4 linked regions of the Saccharomyces cerevisiae S288C genome follow. Changing the gene in region 1 together with any one later gene gives a genetic interaction. Each region holds a gene or a part of one and is shown in the gene's direction. Other genes may lie near its edges.

What was found.
Region 2: of GAL80 (region 1) and MIG1, changing one enhances a phenotype caused by changing the other (phenotypic enhancement), as found in Saccharomyces cerevisiae (3 studies listed by BioGRID, with this or other methods).
Region 3: mutations in GAL80 (region 1) and GAL4 together harm fitness less than expected from each alone (positive genetic interaction), as found in Saccharomyces cerevisiae (3 studies listed by BioGRID, with this or other methods).
Region 4: mutations in GAL80 (region 1) and GAL2 together harm fitness less than expected from each alone (positive genetic interaction), as found in Saccharomyces cerevisiae (one study listed by BioGRID).

What each region holds. Positions count from the first base shown.
Region 1 is NC_001145.3:169,295-174,710, forward strand, and holds GAL80 (transcription regulator GAL80), read left to right. Parts: upstream 1-2,299; coding exon 2,300-3,607; downstream 3,608-5,416. Other genes in the region: YML053C (uncharacterized protein), read right to left, coding at 1-460; SUR7 (Sur7p), read left to right, coding at 1,108-2,016; AIM32 (Aim32p), read left to right, coding at 3,845-4,780; U2 snRNP complex subunit RSE1, read right to left, coding at 4,926-5,416. UniProt on the Saccharomyces cerevisiae protein: This protein is a negative regulator for the gene expression of the lactose/galactose metabolic genes. It binds to GAL4 and so blocks transcriptional activation by it, in the absence of an inducing sugar.
Region 2 is NC_001139.9:429,958-435,557, reverse strand, and holds MIG1 (transcription factor MIG1), read left to right. Parts: upstream 1-2,495; coding exon 2,496-4,010; downstream 4,011-5,600. Other genes in the region: YGL034C (uncharacterized protein), read left to right, coding at 1,979-2,344; VIR1 (Vir1p), read right to left, coding at 4,228-5,600. UniProt on the Saccharomyces cerevisiae protein: Involved in glucose repression of the SUC, GAL and MAL genes as well as of the CAT8 gene. Binds to two sites in the upstream region of SUC2.
Region 3 is NC_001148.4:78,246-85,254, reverse strand, and holds GAL4 (galactose-responsive transcription factor GAL4), read left to right. Parts: upstream 1-2,898; coding exon 2,899-5,544; downstream 5,545-7,009. Other genes in the region: putative rhomboid protease RBD2, read left to right, coding at 1-746; YPL247C (uncharacterized protein), read left to right, coding at 1,059-2,630; GTPase-activating protein GYP5, read left to right, coding at 5,902-7,009. UniProt on the Saccharomyces cerevisiae protein: This protein is a positive regulator for the gene expression of the galactose-induced genes such as GAL1, GAL2, GAL7, GAL10, and MEL1 which code for the enzymes used to convert galactose to glucose.
Region 4 is NC_001144.5:287,731-293,452, forward strand, and holds GAL2 (galactose permease GAL2), read left to right. Parts: upstream 1-2,481; coding exon 2,482-4,206; downstream 4,207-5,722. Other genes in the region: EMP46 (Emp46p), read left to right, coding at 186-1,520; SRL2 (Srl2p), read right to left, coding at 4,664-5,722. UniProt on the Saccharomyces cerevisiae protein: GAL2 is a facilitated diffusion transporter required for both the high-affinity galactokinase-dependent and low-affinity galactokinase-independent galactose transport processes.

The sequences.
Region 1 (5,416 bases):
AACCATGAATCATGTACTCTTCTGTTTCAGAATAAAATTCAGATTCGTTCAGTAAGCGGCTGTTCATAGTGTGGTGCATACTAACCGGTTTCAGGGGACATATTTCGATATTTTTTTTATAATGAATATTATTGTAGGTTGCAGTATTATTGCTGTTATTATGATTATGGTTATTATTATTATTATTGTTGTTGTTGTTGTTGTTGATGATGATGTTGTTGTTGTTGTTATTAAGATTAGCACACCCGGAACCGACCGAAAACTTTGTACTTACAGAATCTCGTTTTGTTCTCTTCGATCTTTGGTAGAAAGTGTGTGTATCAAACTCGAAATGGTCATTTTTTCTTTTATTCATGATCGTATCATTATTGGCGTCGCTGTTGTATGTAGTGGCGGCATTGCTACCGGAATTGCAATTGTTTGTTTGGAACGCAGTATTGTGTTCATAGTATGAGAGCATTTCACGCAGCACACTTGAGTCTTAAATTAATGAATAAAAGCAGCCAACCCCAAGAAAAAAGAGCCCTTATCTGTTTCTGTCGCAGTCCTATTGTATTCTTCCTAACTATATAATTTTGTCAAAATGAAAAATATAAAAAAAATAATAAAGTCAGCTGAGTGGTAAAGAGAAAGCAAAGGGAGAGAAAAATCGGTTACCCAGATGGATTAGGTTACCCAGATGTCATACGTGTATCATGATTTCTAGAAATTATTACCCTGTTTGGTACCATGACAACGGATATGGCAATCTTGCATTAAGTAAAATGTCTCTAATGGGACCGTGAAGGTACAAAACAGCAATGGTCTAGGTAGTGGCATTCGAAGCTTCGAAAGCGTGGCCTCGCCTCGAGCGTGAAGTCATATTTTCTCACTCTGCACTGCCGTGCTGTGCCATGTAGCCCACTGTATGCCTCTAGCACCCCAATCGGGAAAATTGTAAACATTAGCAGGTGTCGCCTCGAGGCCCCCGATACATTTTTCAACATCTCCTCGATACTTAAACAGCAAACAAACAAGCAACACCCACGCAAGAAGATTTATTAATACCTCTTGACTCCCGTAGATATTGAAGAGACTAAGTATAGTAACGCATATCCGCACAATACTATGGTTAAGGTCTGGAATATAGTACTACGTCTGGTAGTGTTGCTGTTTTTAGCAGGTAATACCTTGCTGTTAATTTTGATGATTATATCTGGTGCCACGGACCATTACCCCGTGAACAGATTCTATTGGGTGCAGGGCAATACAACAGGCATACCTAATGCTGGGGATGAAACACGTTGGACGTTTTGGGGCGCCTGTCTACAGGATAAAGACGGGTCGGATACCTGCACAAGCAATTTGGCACCTGCATACCCCATTTCCCCAGTAGATAACTTCAACACACACATCAATGTCCCTCACCAGTTTATTTCCAAAAGAGACGCTTTTTACTACCTGACTAGATTTTCATTTTGTTTCTTTTGGATTGCGCTTGCCTTTGTAGGTGTGTCGTTTATCCTTTACGTTTTGACTTGGTGCTCGAAGATGCTTTCAGAGATGGTGCTTATCCTCATGTCTTTTGGGTTTGTCTTCAATACGGCAGCCGTTGTCTTGCAAACGGCCGCCTCTGCCATGGCAAAGAATGCTTTCCATGACGATCATCGTAGTGCCCAATTGGGTGCCTCTATGATGGGTATGGCTTGGGCAAGTGTCTTTTTATGTATCGTGGAATTTATCCTGCTGGTCTTCTGGTCTGTTAGGGCAAGGTTGGCCTCTACTTACTCCATCGACAATTCAAGATACAGAACCTCCTCCAGATGGAATCCCTTCCATAGAGAGAAGGAGCAAGCAACTGACCCAATATTGACTGCCACTGGACCTGAAGACATGCAACAAAGTGCAAGCATAGTGGGGCCTTCTTCCAATGCTAATCCGGTCACTGCCACTGCTGCTACGGAAAACCAACCTAAAGGTATTAACTTCTTCACTATAAGAAAATCACACGAGCGCCCGGACGATGTCTCTGTTTAAATGGCGCAAGTTTTCCGCTTTGTAATATATATTTATACCCCTTTCTTCTCTCCCCTGCAATATAATAGTTTAATTCTAATATTAATAATATCCTATATTTTCTTCATTTACCGGCGCACTCTCGCCCGAACGACCTCAAAATGTCTGCTACATTCATAATAACCAAAAGCTCATAACTTTTTTTTTTGAACCTGAATATATATACATCACATATCACTGCTGGTCCTTGCCGACCAGCGTATACAATCTCGATAGTTGGTTTCCCGTTCTTTCCACTCCCGTCATGGACTACAACAAGAGATCTTCGGTCTCAACCGTGCCTAATGCAGCTCCCATAAGAGTCGGATTCGTCGGTCTCAACGCAGCCAAAGGATGGGCAATCAAGACACATTACCCCGCCATACTGCAACTATCGTCACAATTTCAAATCACTGCCTTATACAGTCCAAAAATTGAGACTTCTATTGCCACCATTCAGCGTCTAAAATTGAGTAATGCCACTGCTTTTCCCACTTTAGAGTCATTTGCATCATCTTCCACTATAGATATGATAGTGATAGCTATCCAAGTGGCCAGCCATTATGAAGTTGTTATGCCTCTCTTGGAATTCTCCAAAAATAATCCGAACCTCAAGTATCTTTTCGTAGAATGGGCCCTTGCATGTTCACTAGATCAAGCCGAATCCATTTATAAGGCTGCTGCTGAACGTGGGGTTCAAACCATCATCTCTTTACAAGGTCGTAAATCACCATATATTTTGAGAGCAAAAGAATTAATATCTCAAGGCTATATCGGCGACATTAATTCGATCGAGATTGCTGGAAATGGCGGTTGGTACGGCTACGAAAGGCCTGTTAAATCACCAAAATACATCTATGAAATCGGGAACGGTGTAGATCTGGTAACCACAACATTTGGTCACACAATCGATATTTTACAATACATGACAAGTTCGTACTTTTCCAGGATAAATGCAATGGTTTTCAATAATATTCCAGAGCAAGAGCTGATAGATGAGCGTGGTAACCGATTGGGCCAGCGAGTCCCAAAGACAGTACCGGATCATCTTTTATTCCAAGGCACATTGTTAAATGGCAATGTTCCAGTGTCATGCAGTTTCAAAGGTGGCAAACCTACCAAAAAATTTACCAAAAATTTGGTCATTGACATTCACGGTACCAAGGGAGATTTGAAACTTGAAGGCGATGCCGGCTTCGCAGAAATTTCAAATCTGGTCCTTTACTACAGTGGAACTAGAGCAAACGACTTCCCGCTAGCCAATGGACAACAAGCTCCTTTAGACCCGGGGTATGATGCAGGTAAAGAAATCATGGAAGTATATCATTTACGAAATTATAATGCCATTGTGGGTAATATTCATCGACTGTATCAATCTATCTCTGACTTCCACTTCAATACAAAGAAAATTCCTGAATTACCCTCACAATTTGTAATGCAAGGTTTCGATTTCGAAGGCTTTCCCACCTTGATGGATGCTCTGATATTACACAGGTTAATCGAGAGCGTTTATAAAAGTAACATGATGGGCTCCACATTAAACGTTAGCAATATCTCGCATTATAGTTTATAAAAGCATCTTGCCCTGTGCTTGGCCCCCAGTGCAGCGAACGTTATAAAAACGAATACTGAGTATATATCTATGTAAAACAACCATATCATTTCTTGTTCTGAACTTTGTTTACCTAACTAGTTTTAAATTTCCCTTTTTCGTGCATGCGGGTGTTCTTATTTATTAGCATACTACATTTGAAATATCAAATTTCCTTAGTAGAAAAGTGAGAGAAGGTGCACTGACACAAAAAATAAAATGCTACGTATAACTGTCAAAACTTTGCAGCAGCGGGCATCCTTCCATCATAGCTTCAAACATATTAGCGTTCCTGATCTTCATACCCGTGCTCAAAATGATCAAACAAACTGTTATTGCCAAGAAATAAACGCAAGGCTGCCTTCAAAAACTGATCCATTAGATCCTCATATCAAGCTTCCTCATAGAACGCCCAATTACAATAAGCATGTTTTGCTGTTATCACCGGGTGATAGGTTTGCTCAACCATGGAAGGTAGCATGGAATCATAATTTGGATACTAATACAAATCGGCCATATAATGCCATTAGTAAATTGCGCTCCCATTTAGGTGGTTCTCCAGGAATACTAATAAATGCGGTGCATTTGCAAAATGAATTTATTCCAAGGCCAAAACAACACGATGAATGGCTTTATTTTTTTGTTATTCCTGACATGAAGCTTTATGTAATTAAGGAAACGGACATCGAGGAATTTGCATCTTTTTTAGATGAAGGAGCTATTCAAGCACCAAAGCTATCCTTCCAGGATTATTTAAGCGGTAAGGCCAAGGCTTCCCAACAGGTTCATGAAGTGCATCATAGAAAGCTTACAAGGTTTCAGGGTGAAACTTTTCTAAGAGATTGGAACTTAGTCTGTGGGCATTATAAGAGAGATGCTAAGTGTGGAGAAATGGGACCCGACATAATTGCAGCATTTCAAGATGAAAAGCTTTTTCCTGAGAATAATCTAGCCTTAATTTCTCATATTGGGGGTCATATTTTTGCTGGTAATGTCATTTTCTATAAACTATTCGGCAGAGAAAAGATGCAAAACAAGCTGGATTCATTATGGTTTGGTAAAGTTTACCCACACAACTTGAAGCTGTTATGTGAAAACTTGGAAAACGGTAAAATCATCGACGAAATGTACAGAGGTGGCATATCGATGAATTAAAACGGTTTCCTTTTAAAACAGAAATAAAGATGAGGTGAAATTTTATATTTCTTATATTTAAAGCTATCATATATTCCTTGTACATATATTTATTAAGAAAATACATTAACACGCCTTTATACTTGGTATTATTACTGTAAAATCATTACATGTAATTTGTTCTGACTTCGTTGATTGTTTGAATTATATCCTCCACTTGTACACTCTTTAAATTTTTGGCCAAAAATTCCTGCTCATTCAAGGAAAGTCTCAGGAAATTTTCACATAAATCACCATCAATAACTTTACGTACAGGGGCATAATAGCTTCTGTATTCTTGGTGGTCTCTACCTAAAATGGAACAGGAACCCTCACATATTATTTCATCCTCTATACCATGCCGTCCTTGTAACACAACACTTCCAGATTCCTCTTCATCGTCTTCCTTACGCATATTGTTATTCTTCTTTCTTGATTCATAATCTAAATAAAACGTATCATCCGCCTCAGCCATTATATTCTCAATGTTTCCCATCATAAAAACATTCCCCTTGGATAATAAGGGGATAAAGCATCCCACGGTTCCTTGTAAGCCCATATAGATACAACCAGGTCTATCAGAATTTGAAAGGCTGTCCAGGATATGGAAATCAGTGA
Region 2 (5,600 bases), on another chromosome or scaffold:
AAAACGCTTCTCTTTTTCGGTCGCGTAAAAGGATAATATTATTAATGGAAAATTTAGCCGCCGAGGACATAATCTTTTGAATCTTCATAAAAAAGCAACTGTAAGCAATGTAAAGTCCAAAACTTTACCATTTTTTGTTTGATCTTGCATGAGAATACCGGGTGAGCCTAACATGAAAAAGATAGCTAGCCACTATTGTAAAAATGTGATAAAGGATACGAGACTCAAATTCACTTGGATAACTATCTAGCAGGTTTTGAGTCAGCCATATTAGGTTACATACCGGTCCAAACCTATATAGAGCCATTGTACGATCCGACTACAAGTTATTTATATGGAAATTAACAGATTGTTTGGAGTCACCGTACGCAGCTCACATAGATAGCTTATTGTGCAAAATATAATTAAATAAAGATGCAAGATGGATGATAACAAGAATTATAAGCAAAGGATTATTGATGTTCCGAATAATTCAATTCACTATATAACAGGTGTTGGGTATATGTATGTGATCTACCTGGTACGTGTAATTTAAAAAATAAAATAATTGGGAAAACTACGGAATTACGTTTGCGCATTGCGTCCGAAGATCAGCACCTCAGATAAAAAATCAACTTTCGCCGTGGTAGACTTCGAGATACTCTGCTAATAGCGATGCTCGATATTACTACCAATGTATGTGAAGGTTTTGATTGTATTCAATCCTTTTTCAGATAATTTACCCTTGCTTTAAGCTGCGTATATCAAGTGCATTTGCTGTCTGCTGATGTCAATTAATTGTATCAATTGGCCAGCTTCGGATAACGAACGATTATCGCGCGAGTGAAATAGACTGGGTCGACCCTTTTGAATTATCACGGCATCGCAATATCTTTGGAGCAGTACAACATTTACTTTTCTTGACCAATCCTAAGAGTTTGTATACATTTTTTGTAAACTGTAGTACGGCGTTAGAGTCAAGAAGTAGCTTATTATATCCTGTGCACAAATTTCAAAGTTTTTGCCGCCATCATATGGCTGAAAGAGGGCAGCAAATTCCATCTCGTTATTTTTGCATATCAACGCAAGCGTTACACAAGATATGGTTAGAAGCAACGAGCAGAAATTCATTACAATGACAGAAATTAATTGCCGTTGCAACATTGTTTTGCCTCTATCGCGTGTGTTTCCTTGAAGGCAGTGTATCACTGAATGTCATCAGTAATGTTACCAAGAATGAACATCCTCCAAATACTCATAGAAACCCGTTTAAAATTCGGGAATTGATGACTTCCTTATGGTAGGCAAGTGTGATTTACAGACTTTCCATGCGATGAACCCCTATTTTAATCGTATGGATCACCAGATCAAGAATTGGCAGTTCTGTCCCATTATTAGAATAGCGAGAAAACGGATGCTTTCATAATTTTTGATTGTTGCTTCATCCTATTTCACCCTATTTAATAGCCTTCTGTAGAAATATCGTGTATGGTTCCTTTATCATTGCTTAGCATAGCTGCCACTAACCTACATTAATCGACTTTTTCCCGGAAAATTAGCGGGTAATCGATTTTTCTAGATGGCATTGTGGAGGAAAGTAAGTGCGTGGGGTGTGTAAGTTGCCGTACAATGCAGTATAACCAGTAGGACTGGAAGGTAGTCAGTACAGTAAGACTAGAAGTTAGCGAGCCAGCACGTTTCCTTCGCGCCGGTTTTTTTTTTTATTTTTTATTTAATTTTTTTCAAAACTTGACGTGTAGAAGATTGACGTCTGGGGTTGGCCCCATGAATTTTTTATCTATTTCTTCCCTGTGCCTAATTCGTAATATCTCCACTGATAGCGTAAAAAAGCGCTTTATTTTTCCGAAAGTTGTGATGGCATTCCATACAGTTTATAGGATGGTAGCAAGTGATAAGAGCTTGGGGCCCACAATTAAGCAGCAGAAAAGCGCAATTGCGACACTAGCAGTGTAACTCGATAGGATTTTATGGAGTGTTGATGAATGTAGTTGCCATTATAATGGCTTCTCAGGAAACCTGTAGCGGCCGGGCCCCGCGAGAAACTCCAGAGTGGCGTAGGCCGGCTTGTTTAGTTGCTAGCATACTTGTTCGAGCTCTTGAGTTCTCCTGGCTTTTCTCCACGTGTCTGCTTGTTGCCTTTGATTTCGCGAGAGACTGCGGACTGCCACCCCACTCCGGGAAAACCTGGAGTGATGGTAAAGGCCCTGCGGCGCTTTCTTTCGGAAAAACTAATACGAAAGAAGCAACAACAAATTTTTACAACAGGCTGGACGAGAAAAGTGGGGAAGAGCAAGCAGAAAAAAGAAAAGAGAATAGTCGTTCTTGGATAATTTATTTATTATAACCCTTTTTTTTCACCCCAGTACTCATTAACGAAGACAAAGGAGAGTAAGAAAGCCCGGTAAAGCATTTCGAAGATAAGAGAGCCATTTATTCTAGCTCGCTTGTAACTACACGAGAGTTGAGTATAGTGGAGACGACATACTACCATAGCCATGCAAAGCCCATATCCAATGACACAAGTGTCTAACGTTGATGATGGGTCACTATTGAAGGAGAGTAAAAGCAAGTCCAAAGTAGCTGCGAAGTCAGAGGCGCCAAGACCACATGCTTGTCCTATCTGTCATAGAGCTTTTCACAGACTGGAACATCAGACGAGACACATGAGAATTCATACAGGTGAGAAGCCTCACGCGTGTGACTTCCCCGGATGTGTGAAAAGGTTCAGTAGAAGCGATGAACTGACGAGACACAGAAGAATTCATACAAACTCCCACCCTCGAGGTAAAAGAGGCAGAAAGAAGAAGGTTGTGGGCTCTCCAATAAATAGTGCTAGTTCTAGTGCTACCAGTATACCAGATTTAAATACGGCAAATTTTTCACCGCCATTACCACAGCAACACCTATCGCCTTTAATTCCTATTGCTATTGCTCCGAAAGAAAATTCAAGTCGATCTTCTACAAGAAAAGGTAGAAAAACCAAATTCGAAATCGGCGAAAGTGGTGGGAATGACCCATATATGGTTTCTTCTCCCAAAACGATGGCTAAGATTCCCGTCTCGGTGAAGCCTCCACCTTCTTTAGCACTGAATAATATGAACTACCAAACTTCATCCGCTTCCACTGCTTTGTCTTCGTTGAGCAATAGCCATAGTGGCAGTAGACTGAAACTGAACGCGTTATCGTCCCTACAAATGATGACGCCCATTGCTAGCAGTGCGCCAAGGACTGTTTTCATAGACGGTCCTGAACAGAAACAACTACAACAACAACAAAATTCTCTTTCACCACGTTATTCCAACACTGTTATATTACCAAGGCCGCGATCTTTAACGGATTTTCAAGGATTGAACAATGCAAATCCAAACAACAATGGAAGTCTCAGAGCACAAACTCAGAGTTCCGTACAGTTGAAGAGACCAAGTTCAGTTTTAAGTTTGAACGACTTGTTGGTTGGCCAAAGAAATACCAACGAATCTGACTCTGATTTTACTACTGGTGGTGAGGATGAAGAAGACGGACTAAAGGACCCGTCTAACTCTAGTATCGATAACCTTGAGCAAGACTATTTGCAAGAGCAATCAAGAAAGAAATCTAAGACTTCCACGCCCACGACAATGCTAAGTAGATCCACTAGTGGTACGAATTTGCACACTTTGGGGTATGTAATGAACCAAAATCACTTGCATTTCTCCTCATCATCTCCTGATTTCCAAAAGGAGTTGAACAACAGATTACTGAACGTTCAACAACAGCAGCAAGAGCAACATACCCTACTGCAATCACAAAATACGTCAAACCAAAGTCAAAATCAAAATCAAAATCAAATGATGGCTTCCAGTAGTTCGTTAAGTACAACCCCGTTATTATTGTCACCAAGGGTGAATATGATTAATACTGCTATATCCACCCAACAAACCCCCATTTCTCAGTCGGATTCACAAGTTCAAGAACTGGAAACATTACCACCCATAAGAAGTTTACCGTTGCCCTTCCCACACATGGACTGATACGCTGACAAGTTTTTGGCGGTGCAGATAAATCAAAAGACAATAGACAAGAATTAATAATATTAACAATTAATAATTAATAAATAATAAATAATAATAATAATAATAATAATAATAATAATAATAGTAATAATAATAATAATTAATAACGATAAAAATATTTAATTATGATAGTAAGAATACATATTTTGATTGTCTTAGTCTTCCGCAGAGATAATTAATTGTTCTCATTTTCAAAGTCATCTATATGTATTGATTGAGCTCTACTGTTGTTTTTAACTTTATTGTGGCCCCCTAAAATATAATTTTTACCAGTATTAACCATTTTGCTCTTATTAGTACTTTTACTGATGGTGGAACCCTTGAAATTTGTCATGGGCGATTCAATCCATAGATTGTTATTGCTGCTTCCACTAGTGTTCTTGTATGGAATTGGTGTCGTAGGTGCCGTAGTCATAGCATCGGTTGCTCTAGTTAAGGTGGTTGGTTGTCTCGTCATATTGGTATTGGTTGTGTTGAATGAATTGTCAAGAGAATAACTCTCATTCATGGAACCAGGTCCTTGTGTGCCGCTGTTATTGTTGCTACCATTACTTTCCTGAGAAATTAGGCTGCTTTTGTTGAACAAAAACCTGTTGGAAGAACATGGAGTAGAGTTTTGAGGCTGCTGCTGCTGCTTACTAACGTTAGTGTTAGTGTTTTTCGACGTGGACGGTATGAAAGATGTGGACGAGTAGACATCGTACTTCGATAACGTAGTAAAGTTTTCAATATTTTTCTGCGCAGCTGATTGTGATGATGTACAATTATCGCTTGTTGATGCTGAAGTTATTGTATTTGGTGGAGTGGATATCACAAATTGAACATCCTCAGGGAATAATTTCAGCAAGTCAGATGTTGTTAGTTTTATTGGCTTAATCTTTGGTTGCTCTTCATAGAAAAGCTCCTTATAAAATGCATTATAAACTTCAGAACCGTCATTCCACAATGTGATGTAATCTTTCAAAGCTTGGAAAGAAAGTTGATTTTTTAAACATAACTTTTTAATTAAATTATCATCATCACTTCCATCCCTAATTTGATGGAAGAACAAATGATTCAATAAGTTTATGGATATTTTTTGTAAAATCAAATCATCCAGAGAAACCTTTGTCGCGAATTTGATCAAATGATATAGTGCTAAATTTTTTTCCTTTATGACCAAATTTTCACACAATTTCAAAGAGCTAAAAAAAATTAGTTGAGAAAATAATTTCTTGACTGAGGAAGACCCGATGAGATTTATATTTTCCTCTTTCTCTTTATGTCCTTCATCTCGTTCTTGGCCTCGGTCTTTTAATTGTTGGGCCAATAATAATGAAGTAAATAATGGAACGAGATAAAGCTGCATGTATTGTTCTATTATCACATGATTGTCTTCATTACTGTGATCATCTGATGATTGAATTAGTGGGTTAATCTTCAGGTCATCATAATCCCTTAGAAGTTTAGAAATTAAAAGAATGGTTAAATTCAAACAGCGTAATACATCATTTACAATCATAATTGAATCCGACTCATGGTCTAGGTTCTTGTCAAAAGTGAAAAGCG
Region 3 (7,009 bases), on another chromosome or scaffold:
CTGCGTTGACCACAGGCCTTGTGGTATTTCTAACCGCTATTTACCTGTTAAGTTTTATTTTTGCCCTAAGGGAAGACCTGTCGTTGGCGCCAGAGTCATTGTTCAAACTGCAAATGAGCAGGCTATCGCTTTATCCTTTAATTCACCTATCATTGCCTCATTTACTGTTCAATGTGCTAGCCATCTGGGCACCCTTGAATCTCTTCGAAGAAACGCATGGGACTGTGTACACAGGTGTTTTTTTGAACCTGAGTGCTCTATTTGCCGGAATTCTGTACTGTTTGTTGGGTAAGTTGCTATATCCAGAAGCATTAGTTGCAGGCGCCAGTGGGTGGTGTTTCACCTTATTCGCATACTATAGTTTTAAAGAATCACAGATCCGCCCTAGAACAAGGATCTTTCGCACAGACTACTCAATTCCGACATTATATACACCCCTAGTACTATTAGTCGCAATTGCCGTCGTTATACCTGGCTCCAGTTTCTGGGGTCATTTTTTCGGCTTATGTGTCGGTTACGCCATAGGCTACAAGGAATCGTGGTTTAACAAGATCACTCCACCAGGATGGATCATCACCAAAATCGAAAAAAGTTTAGACGGTTTAATTCGATTAATACCTTGGGGAATTAAGTATTACAGAGATGAGGATATCGACAGAACTAAAGATTACGAACCGTTAATGTCCACAGAAACACCATTGCCTCTCCACAATGACAACTCCGGCACTGTCCTAGGGACTGCCTAGACATTTGTATCGCTATTCTTTCTTTCACAGTTTAAGGATGTATATAAATGTAGTATATATCATTTTATATTCTAATATGCAAGAATTTTCAGTCTCTTCTTTTTCCTTAGCGTGCGTTTATGAAAAAAAATGGAATATGAATAATTACTGGGAGGAAGACCAGGGGCAAGGGGTGAACCATCTTGTCATCTGAAATCTTGTATAAATAATTTAGTAATCAGTTCTTTAGGTTTTCGAGAGTGGCATACAACCTAAAGGGTCAACAGACAACAAGAAGGAAAGGAATTATAGGAGCAAATACACGCCCTTCAAATGGATCCCTTTCACAATGGCAATAAAAGGAGCTCAATATCGTTTGGCTCATCGCAGCGGCAGCCATATAACAAGAACAATTACTTGAGTGGTACTAATGGGCCTTCCTCGGCGGCACAAGATCAAGGTAGAGGCCCATCTCCCTTTGGAATGTCTGGCAACACTACCAATGGCGGTAACAGCAAAAGGAATAGTGGCTGTGACCTAAGTGCCACGTACTATGCAAGTCGATCGCCGATGTATTCACCGTTAGATTTCTCGCCACCAGTTTTTTCACCAAATCATTCTCAGTTACAGCAGGCGAGGGGCTATGCTGCAAATATTCCGGTTGTAAGCAATCTGATGAACCCTTCCATGGCCTCCGTGTGCGAATATCAATCACACTATCCACTCTTTGGGCTCGATTGGAGCGCCGACGACTACGTCTGCTTGGGTTCGTACAAAGAGGACAGCAGAAATAAGTTGCAGGTTCTGCACTCTAATGATCTACTGAGCTGGGAAAGCGTAGTGGACGCAGATGTGGTTTATCCTGTGAGCAAAATCCAATGGGTCCCCTCTCAATTGTATCCAAGGAAACTCGCGACGTGTTCTGACTCCTTACGGATTTGGAGCGTTAGCCCTGAGGAAAGACAGTTCCAAGAACAAATAAATCTATCTCTGTGTAAATACAATAGACAGCACCCCGCCAATCCCGCGGCCGCAGATGACATGAAGGTCATAGGCACTTTCCCACCAATAACATCATTTGACTGGAACACGGTCGATACTAACTTGATAATCTCAAGTTCCATCGACACCACATGCATTGTATGGGATCTGCAAAGCAGTCACTACGTTAAGACCCAATTGATCGCTCACGACAGCGAAGTTTTTGATGTAAGGTTTTTGACAAAATCGACCCAATTATTTGCTAGTTGTGGTGGGGACGGTAGTGTACGAGTATTTGATTTAAGATCGCTTGCGCACAGTACAATTATTTACGAGCCTCCCTCTTCCTCAGTGTCTGGAGCCACTGCGGGTACTATAACACCGTCGTCGAAAGGTTCGGACGCCTTATTGAGGCTGGAGCCATCACCGTATGACCCAAATGTGTTGGCCACTTTTGCAGCTGACTCGAACAAAATCATTATTCTAGATATGAGGAACCCAGAATCCCCTATACTAAACTTACAAGGCCACGGTTCTTCGGTAAACGGGATTAAATGGCATCCCACAAAGCGCAATGTTTTGCTCTCGTGCGGAGATGACTGCCAGGTGCTCTATTGGGACTTGAACAGCTCCTTTATGGAAATTAACGCTGCAGGTAGCAAATCCCCCAGTATTCATGGAACTTCCTTGGAGGACCCTGACGGCGACACAGAGATGACAGACGGTGGCGCAGGATCCGGTTTAAACGAGGATCCCTTAAGTTTAAACAACAACAGCAAGCAGGTGTGCAAGACACTAGAGACTCCTAACATGATGTATGCCAATAAAACACAAGAGATAAACAACATTGCATGGAGGCCCCAGAGGGGCGATTGGTTTGGGTGCGTGAGCGGCAAGAAGTTTCAAAACGTCCGCGTCCTTTGAGACAGCATTCGCCCAGTATTTTTTTTATTCTACAAACCTTCTATAATTTCAAAGTATTTACATAATTCTGTATCAGTTTAATCACCATAATATCGTTTTCTTTGTTTAGTGCAATTAATTTTTCCTATTGTTACTTCGGGCCTTTTTCTGTTTTATGAGCTATTTTTTCCGTCATCCTTCCCCAGATTTTCAGCTTCATCTCCAGATTGTGTCTACGTAATGCACGCCATCATTTTAAGAGAGGACAGAGAAGCAAGCCTCCTGAAAGATGAAGCTACTGTCTTCTATCGAACAAGCATGCGATATTTGCCGACTTAAAAAGCTCAAGTGCTCCAAAGAAAAACCGAAGTGCGCCAAGTGTCTGAAGAACAACTGGGAGTGTCGCTACTCTCCCAAAACCAAAAGGTCTCCGCTGACTAGGGCACATCTGACAGAAGTGGAATCAAGGCTAGAAAGACTGGAACAGCTATTTCTACTGATTTTTCCTCGAGAAGACCTTGACATGATTTTGAAAATGGATTCTTTACAGGATATAAAAGCATTGTTAACAGGATTATTTGTACAAGATAATGTGAATAAAGATGCCGTCACAGATAGATTGGCTTCAGTGGAGACTGATATGCCTCTAACATTGAGACAGCATAGAATAAGTGCGACATCATCATCGGAAGAGAGTAGTAACAAAGGTCAAAGACAGTTGACTGTATCGATTGACTCGGCAGCTCATCATGATAACTCCACAATTCCGTTGGATTTTATGCCCAGGGATGCTCTTCATGGATTTGATTGGTCTGAAGAGGATGACATGTCGGATGGCTTGCCCTTCCTGAAAACGGACCCCAACAATAATGGGTTCTTTGGCGACGGTTCTCTCTTATGTATTCTTCGATCTATTGGCTTTAAACCGGAAAATTACACGAACTCTAACGTTAACAGGCTCCCGACCATGATTACGGATAGATACACGTTGGCTTCTAGATCCACAACATCCCGTTTACTTCAAAGTTATCTCAATAATTTTCACCCCTACTGCCCTATCGTGCACTCACCGACGCTAATGATGTTGTATAATAACCAGATTGAAATCGCGTCGAAGGATCAATGGCAAATCCTTTTTAACTGCATATTAGCCATTGGAGCCTGGTGTATAGAGGGGGAATCTACTGATATAGATGTTTTTTACTATCAAAATGCTAAATCTCATTTGACGAGCAAGGTCTTCGAGTCAGGTTCCATAATTTTGGTGACAGCCCTACATCTTCTGTCGCGATATACACAGTGGAGGCAGAAAACAAATACTAGCTATAATTTTCACAGCTTTTCCATAAGAATGGCCATATCATTGGGCTTGAATAGGGACCTCCCCTCGTCCTTCAGTGATAGCAGCATTCTGGAACAAAGACGCCGAATTTGGTGGTCTGTCTACTCTTGGGAGATCCAATTGTCCCTGCTTTATGGTCGATCCATCCAGCTTTCTCAGAATACAATCTCCTTCCCTTCTTCTGTCGACGATGTGCAGCGTACCACAACAGGTCCCACCATATATCATGGCATCATTGAAACAGCAAGGCTCTTACAAGTTTTCACAAAAATCTATGAACTAGACAAAACAGTAACTGCAGAAAAAAGTCCTATATGTGCAAAAAAATGCTTGATGATTTGTAATGAGATTGAGGAGGTTTCGAGACAGGCACCAAAGTTTTTACAAATGGATATTTCCACCACCGCTCTAACCAATTTGTTGAAGGAACACCCTTGGCTATCCTTTACAAGATTCGAACTGAAGTGGAAACAGTTGTCTCTTATCATTTATGTATTAAGAGATTTTTTCACTAATTTTACCCAGAAAAAGTCACAACTAGAACAGGATCAAAATGATCATCAAAGTTATGAAGTTAAACGATGCTCCATCATGTTAAGCGATGCAGCACAAAGAACTGTTATGTCTGTAAGTAGCTATATGGACAATCATAATGTCACCCCATATTTTGCCTGGAATTGTTCTTATTACTTGTTCAATGCAGTCCTAGTACCCATAAAGACTCTACTCTCAAACTCAAAATCGAATGCTGAGAATAACGAGACCGCACAATTATTACAACAAATTAACACTGTTCTGATGCTATTAAAAAAACTGGCCACTTTTAAAATCCAGACTTGTGAAAAATACATTCAAGTACTGGAAGAGGTATGTGCGCCGTTTCTGTTATCACAGTGTGCAATCCCATTACCGCATATCAGTTATAACAATAGTAATGGTAGCGCCATTAAAAATATTGTCGGTTCTGCAACTATCGCCCAATACCCTACTCTTCCGGAGGAAAATGTCAACAATATCAGTGTTAAATATGTTTCTCCTGGCTCAGTAGGGCCTTCACCTGTGCCATTGAAATCAGGAGCAAGTTTCAGTGATCTAGTCAAGCTGTTATCTAACCGTCCACCCTCTCGTAACTCTCCAGTGACAATACCAAGAAGCACACCTTCGCATCGCTCAGTCACGCCTTTTCTAGGGCAACAGCAACAGCTGCAATCATTAGTGCCACTGACCCCGTCTGCTTTGTTTGGTGGCGCCAATTTTAATCAAAGTGGGAATATTGCTGATAGCTCATTGTCCTTCACTTTCACTAACAGTAGCAACGGTCCGAACCTCATAACAACTCAAACAAATTCTCAAGCGCTTTCACAACCAATTGCCTCCTCTAACGTTCATGATAACTTCATGAATAATGAAATCACGGCTAGTAAAATTGATGATGGTAATAATTCAAAACCACTGTCACCTGGTTGGACGGACCAAACTGCGTATAACGCGTTTGGAATCACTACAGGGATGTTTAATACCACTACAATGGATGATGTATATAACTATCTATTCGATGATGAAGATACCCCACCAAACCCAAAAAAAGAGTAAAATGAATCGTAGATACTGAAAAACCCCGCAAGTTCACTTCAACTGTGCATCGTGCACCATCTCAATTTCTTTCATTTATACATCGTTTTGCCTTCTTTTATGTAACTATACTCCTCTAAGTTTCAATCTTGGCCATGTAACCTCTGATCTATAGAATTTTTTAAATGACTAGAATTAATGCCCATCTTTTTTTTGGACCTAAATTCTTCATGAAAATATATTACGAGGGCTTATTCAGAAGCTTCGCTCATATAACGAAAAAAAAGGGTTTGGATCGAACGTAATTGAGATTGATTAGTTAATACTCAAAATAAAACAGCTCCTACCACCAGTGTAAAGTAGAACGTTAATAGAGCAATGTCTTCAGACAAATCTATTGAGAAAAATACAGATACGATCGCCTCTGAAGTTCACGAAGGTGATAATCATTCGAATAATTTGGGTTCAATGGAGGAAGAGATAAAATCAACGCCATCAGACCAATATGAAGAGATAGCTATAATTCCAACTGAGCCCCTCCATTCGGACAAAGAACTAAATGACAAGCAACAAAGTTTAGGCCATGAAGCACCCACAAATGTATCAAGAGAAGAACCTATTGGGATCTCTGGTGATGAAGACACCCAAATCACTGAACAAAACGTTAATGAACAAAGGCAAGAAACGAGAGAACCTAGTTCTGAAATTGATTTAAATGAGCCATTGGATGTTGAAAAAGATGTGACAACGGATGTGCAAGCCCCAAATGGGCTGAATATTGAAAAAGAATATGATGCAGTCAAAGAGAATGAGAAGGTTTACGCTGATACGAAAGAGGTTGTTAGTAGTCCAGAAAATAGGGAAGTAACTGGAAAAAATTCTGGAGGTGAGAAATCATCCTCGAGTAAATTTCTCGATGACGAATCTGGTACTACGACAGCTGCAAATGCGAACGACATTTCTATAAGTAGTGAAGTAACCCCAGAAAGGTCGTCAGAAAATGATAATAACCAGATTCATATTACCAATGAGGTAGCCGCAGGAATAAACTTGAATGAAAACAAGGAACAAAAAGCTGCTATAGAAGATGGGCCCGTAACAGCAGAGAATCTTTCCTCAGAAACTGCTAGGAAAGTACCACCTATACCCACACAAATCATAAATGAAAAAGGTGATAACTCAAGCGAGAACGAGGTTTCCGCAATTCCCACTACATCTTCGCCACCATTACCACCTAGACAAAATGTTGCGACATCAACGTCACCAAAATTACCTCCAAGGGGCAAACAAAGGGAACAACCACCGAAGACGAAGAATGCTGTTCCACCGCCACTAGAGGAAGAAATGAAGTCAGAGAAGTTCCGTAAAAACTTCGAAGAAACTAAAAGAAATAGTTATCATCATGTTCCTCTCACTGGTTCCAAAACTGCGCAATTAGAGTCCACTGCAGAAATTAATTTGATCGCTAGTCGTTACCGCAAGACCA
Region 4 (5,722 bases), on another chromosome or scaffold:
ACATTTATTTGCAAAGGGGCATTAACATCAACATTTTACATATTATAATATATACAGGATATTCTATATTACAACATTAACAGGATTTTTAACTTTTCCTTACCGTATTCTTTTATTCTGGTTTTCTGTCTTCAGAATAATAGCATATTTCATTGTAGTATTTCGTCAAAGCGAGTTAGGGGAGGATGACTACAAGAAAGACAGCTTCCTCTCTTCAGCTTTTAGGGAAAATCACAGGAACAAAAGCTGGAACTAAGCAAAAGAAGATGAATTTCATTAATGGACTGATATGGTTATATATGTGTGTGTGGATGGTACACGGAAAAGTGACGCAGAAGGATGAATTGAAATGGAATAAAGGATACTCGCTACCAAATTTGCTAGAAGTGACAGATCAGCAAAAAGAACTTTCACAATGGACTTTGGGTGACAAAGTAAAACTTGAAGAAGGGAGGTTTGTTTTAACTCCTGGAAAGAACACAAAGGGTTCACTTTGGTTGAAACCTGAATATTCAATAAAGGATGCAATGACAATAGAGTGGACGTTTAGAAGTTTCGGGTTCAGAGGCAGCACAAAGGGGGGTCTTGCATTTTGGCTGAAGCAAGGAAATGAGGGAGATAGTACCGAGTTATTTGGTGGAAGTTCGAAGAAGTTTAATGGTTTGATGATATTGTTACGATTAGACGATAAGTTGGGAGAGAGCGTGACAGCGTATTTGAATGACGGAACAAAAGATCTTGATATTGAATCCTCACCGTACTTTGCGTCATGTCTGTTCCAATACCAGGATTCCATGGTACCATCAACATTAAGATTGACTTACAATCCACTAGATAATCACTTGTTAAAGTTGCAAATGGACAACAGAGTGTGTTTCCAGACAAGGAAAGTTAAATTTATGGGCAGCAGCCCATTTAGGATTGGAACAAGTGCTATCAACGATGCATCCAAAGAATCGTTTGAAATCTTGAAAATGAAGCTTTATGACGGAGTTATAGAGGATTCGCTAATTCCTAACGTGAATCCTATGGGACAACCCAGAGTGGTTACTAAAGTGATCAATTCTCAAACTGGTGAAGAGAGTTTCAGGGAAAAGATGCCATTTTCTGATAAGGAAGAAAGTATAACGAGTAACGAGCTTTTCGAAAAGATGAACAAGTTGGAGGGGAAAATCATGGCAAATGATATCGATCCATTACTCCGCAAGATGAACAAGATTGTGGAGAATGAACGTGAACTGATTCAACGTTTAAGACCACTGTTAGATCTGAAGAAAACAGCCATAAGTGACGATAGTTTCCAAGATTTTCTTTCGATGAACGCAAACCTGGACAGATTGATAAAAGAACAAGAAAAAATTCGACAAGATGCCAAGCTGTATGGCAAGCAGACCAAAGGTCATGATGAGATATTTTCCAAAATAAGTGTATGGTTGGCACTGCTGATTTTCATTATGATCACATTGGCGTACTACATGTTTAGAATTAACCAAGACATCAAGAAGGTCAAACTTCTGTAAGCTCTTGTGTCTTTGTTATATGGGTACAAGATATAAGAAACATAACTATTACATACGAAAATGTGCATGTTATCTATATCCTTCTTTATATAGATGCTGTTAACTTCTTTTTTTTTTTTTGGGAAAATCAACTGTTAAACGCGACAGTAAAAGCAGCAAAACATTAATTTTGCTTCCAAGACGACAGTAATATGTCTCCTACAATACCAGTTTCGCTGCAGAAGGCACATCTATTACATTTACTGAGCATAACGGGCTGTACTAATCCAAGGAGGTTTACGGACCAGGGGAACTTTCCAGATTCAGATCACAGCAATATAGGACTAGAAAATATCAGGTAGCCGCACTCAACTTGTAACTGGCAACTACTTTGCATCAAACTCCAATTAAATGCGGTAGAATCTTTTCACAAAAGGTACTCAACGTCAATTCGGAAAGCTTCCTTCCGGAATGGCTTAAGTAGGTTGCAATTTCTTTTTCTATTAGTAGCTAAAAATGGGTCACGTGATCTATATTCGAAAGGGGCGGTTGCCTCAGGAAGGCACCGGCGGTCTTTCGTCCGTGCGGAGATATCTGCGCCGTTCAGGGGTCCATGTGCCTTGGACGATATTAAGGCAGAAGGCAGTATCGGGGCGGATCACTCCGAACCGAGATTAGTTAAGCCCTTCCCATCTCAAGATGGGGAGCAAATGGCATTATACTCCTGCTAGAAAGTTAACTGTGCACATATTCTTAAATTATACAACATTCTGGAGAGCTATTGTTCAAAAAACAAACATTTCGCAGGCTAAAATGTGGAGATAGGATAAGTTTTGTAGACATATATAAACAATCAGTAATTGGATTGAAAATTTGGTGTTGTGAATTGCTCTTCATTATGCACCTTATTCAATTATCATCAAGAATAGTAATAGTTAAGTAAACACAAGATTAACATAATAAAAAAAATAATTCTTTCATAATGGCAGTTGAGGAGAACAATATGCCTGTTGTTTCACAGCAACCCCAAGCTGGTGAAGACGTGATCTCTTCACTCAGTAAAGATTCCCATTTAAGCGCACAATCTCAAAAGTATTCTAATGATGAATTGAAAGCCGGTGAGTCAGGGTCTGAAGGCTCCCAAAGTGTTCCTATAGAGATACCCAAGAAGCCCATGTCTGAATATGTTACCGTTTCCTTGCTTTGTTTGTGTGTTGCCTTCGGCGGCTTCATGTTTGGCTGGGATACCGGTACTATTTCTGGGTTTGTTGTCCAAACAGACTTTTTGAGAAGGTTTGGTATGAAACATAAGGATGGTACCCACTATTTGTCAAACGTCAGAACAGGTTTAATCGTCGCCATTTTCAATATTGGCTGTGCCTTTGGTGGTATTATACTTTCCAAAGGTGGAGATATGTATGGCCGTAAAAAGGGTCTTTCGATTGTCGTCTCGGTTTATATAGTTGGTATTATCATTCAAATTGCCTCTATCAACAAGTGGTACCAATATTTCATTGGTAGAATCATATCTGGTTTGGGTGTCGGCGGCATCGCCGTCTTATGTCCTATGTTGATCTCTGAAATTGCTCCAAAGCACTTGAGAGGCACACTAGTTTCTTGTTATCAGCTGATGATTACTGCAGGTATCTTTTTGGGCTACTGTACTAATTACGGTACAAAGAGCTATTCGAACTCAGTTCAATGGAGAGTTCCATTAGGGCTATGTTTCGCTTGGTCATTATTTATGATTGGCGCTTTGACGTTAGTTCCTGAATCCCCACGTTATTTATGTGAGGTGAATAAGGTAGAAGACGCCAAGCGTTCCATTGCTAAGTCTAACAAGGTGTCACCAGAGGATCCTGCCGTCCAGGCAGAGTTAGATCTGATCATGGCCGGTATAGAAGCTGAAAAACTGGCTGGCAATGCGTCCTGGGGGGAATTATTTTCCACCAAGACCAAAGTATTTCAACGTTTGTTGATGGGTGTGTTTGTTCAAATGTTCCAACAATTAACCGGTAACAATTATTTTTTCTACTACGGTACCGTTATTTTCAAGTCAGTTGGCCTGGATGATTCCTTTGAAACATCCATTGTCATTGGTGTAGTCAACTTTGCCTCCACTTTCTTTAGTTTGTGGACTGTCGAAAACTTGGGACATCGTAAATGTTTACTTTTGGGCGCTGCCACTATGATGGCTTGTATGGTCATCTACGCCTCTGTTGGTGTTACTAGATTATATCCTCACGGTAAAAGCCAGCCATCTTCTAAAGGTGCCGGTAACTGTATGATTGTCTTTACCTGTTTTTATATTTTCTGTTATGCCACAACCTGGGCGCCAGTTGCCTGGGTCATCACAGCAGAATCATTCCCACTGAGAGTCAAGTCGAAATGTATGGCGTTGGCCTCTGCTTCCAATTGGGTATGGGGGTTCTTGATTGCATTTTTCACCCCATTCATCACATCTGCCATTAACTTCTACTACGGTTATGTCTTCATGGGCTGTTTGGTTGCCATGTTTTTTTATGTCTTTTTCTTTGTTCCAGAAACTAAAGGCCTATCGTTAGAAGAAATTCAAGAATTATGGGAAGAAGGTGTTTTACCTTGGAAATCTGAAGGCTGGATTCCTTCATCCAGAAGAGGTAATAATTACGATTTAGAGGATTTACAACATGACGACAAACCGTGGTACAAGGCCATGCTAGAATAATGCGTTTGAAGTGAGACGCTCCATCATCTCTCTTAATTTTTCATGACTGACGTTTTTTCTTCATTTTAATTATCATAGTATTTGTTTGAAAAAAAAAAAAAAAAATTTCCCTTATCAATGATATCCTTACGATTATATAAATTCCTTACCTAAACCTATTATTTGTGTACATATATCAGAGTATTATTACATATATAACCTTTTTCTCTAAAACAGGAAAAAAAAAAGAAAACGATAACATGCTCTGCCATCCTTTGTTCACCGAGCAAAATTAAAAACGCAAAATGAATTGTCCCTATGAAATTATTAAAGGACCACATCACCAGACTTATCTCTGGGGGGTCCTCTAGAAAATAAGTCAGGTACTTGCCTGGACTTTCTTCCAGTTGAATTCCTGAGCTAACATACAATTAATGGAGTGAGAATGTTCGAACGATCCAGGAGTTGCTTTTTTCAGTCATTTGTTTATCAGTGTAACAAGCATTTCCTTTATTTCTTTTATATCAACCTGCAACCTATTAATATTCAATTCAACGTCTCGGAGCTTTTCTCGTACCGTTTTACCATCATCCATTTCCATGCTAACTAATTCTGAGATTACGATTACATATTGTCTCAGTTCTGGTTCATCAATGGCTGATAAAACTTTCATTACATTTTGGAAAAAATCTTCGTCATTTAGGTCTAAAGTCAGGATTTGGTTCCTTATAGACTCTCTACGATCTTTTTTCAAGTTTTTTTCTGAAGAAATATGTCCATTTTCATTAGTGACAGCGGTAGAGTCCTCTTCCGCTCGAACCAAACTATCACTGCCGGTGTTTTCCTCTCGAAAGGGTTTGTCTTTACCAATGGAAAGACGCCCGTCTTCTGCGCTTTCATATAATTTGACAGTGGCTATATTGAACTGTTCTTGCAAATCGCCAGTTTTGGCATCCCCTACCCAACCTTTTTCATGCAATTCCTTTCCTTGAGTGACCCAAGCGACGAGGTTATCTCTAATATATCTTGAAGTTATAGGTACTCTTGATTTCTCCTTATAAACTCTGTTAAAAAACTCAGCTATCATTTGATGACATAATATAGGTCTCCTTTTACTTGCTCTCTTTGTTGTGTGGAGCAAGAGGGCCCAATATATGACTGTTAACTTTTCACAAAGACTTTTTTCTTTATTATTGGACCATCGAAACTTCCTTAGTTGCCTTGTTTCCGCTTCGTCATTACTGTTTCCCCCCAAGTCTGTGGGGGCTCCAACGTGCAATATGTCGTTGTCAATATCACTAGAAGTATGAGTTTCCACATTCAACTTGGTATTAGTAGTGTTAATTCTTTTATTAAAGCAAATAGTATGTGTAGATTGCAGGAGGTCGAAGCTCTTCGGATTGGCAAAATCAATATTCTGCTCTATAATTTTCACAGGTTTTGTTGGCAGTATTTGTGCAATTCCTGTCATTGAGTTTCTAAATACATTCTTTTGGTCATATTTTGAAGTGCTCTTTTTGCTTTTATGTACTTTTTT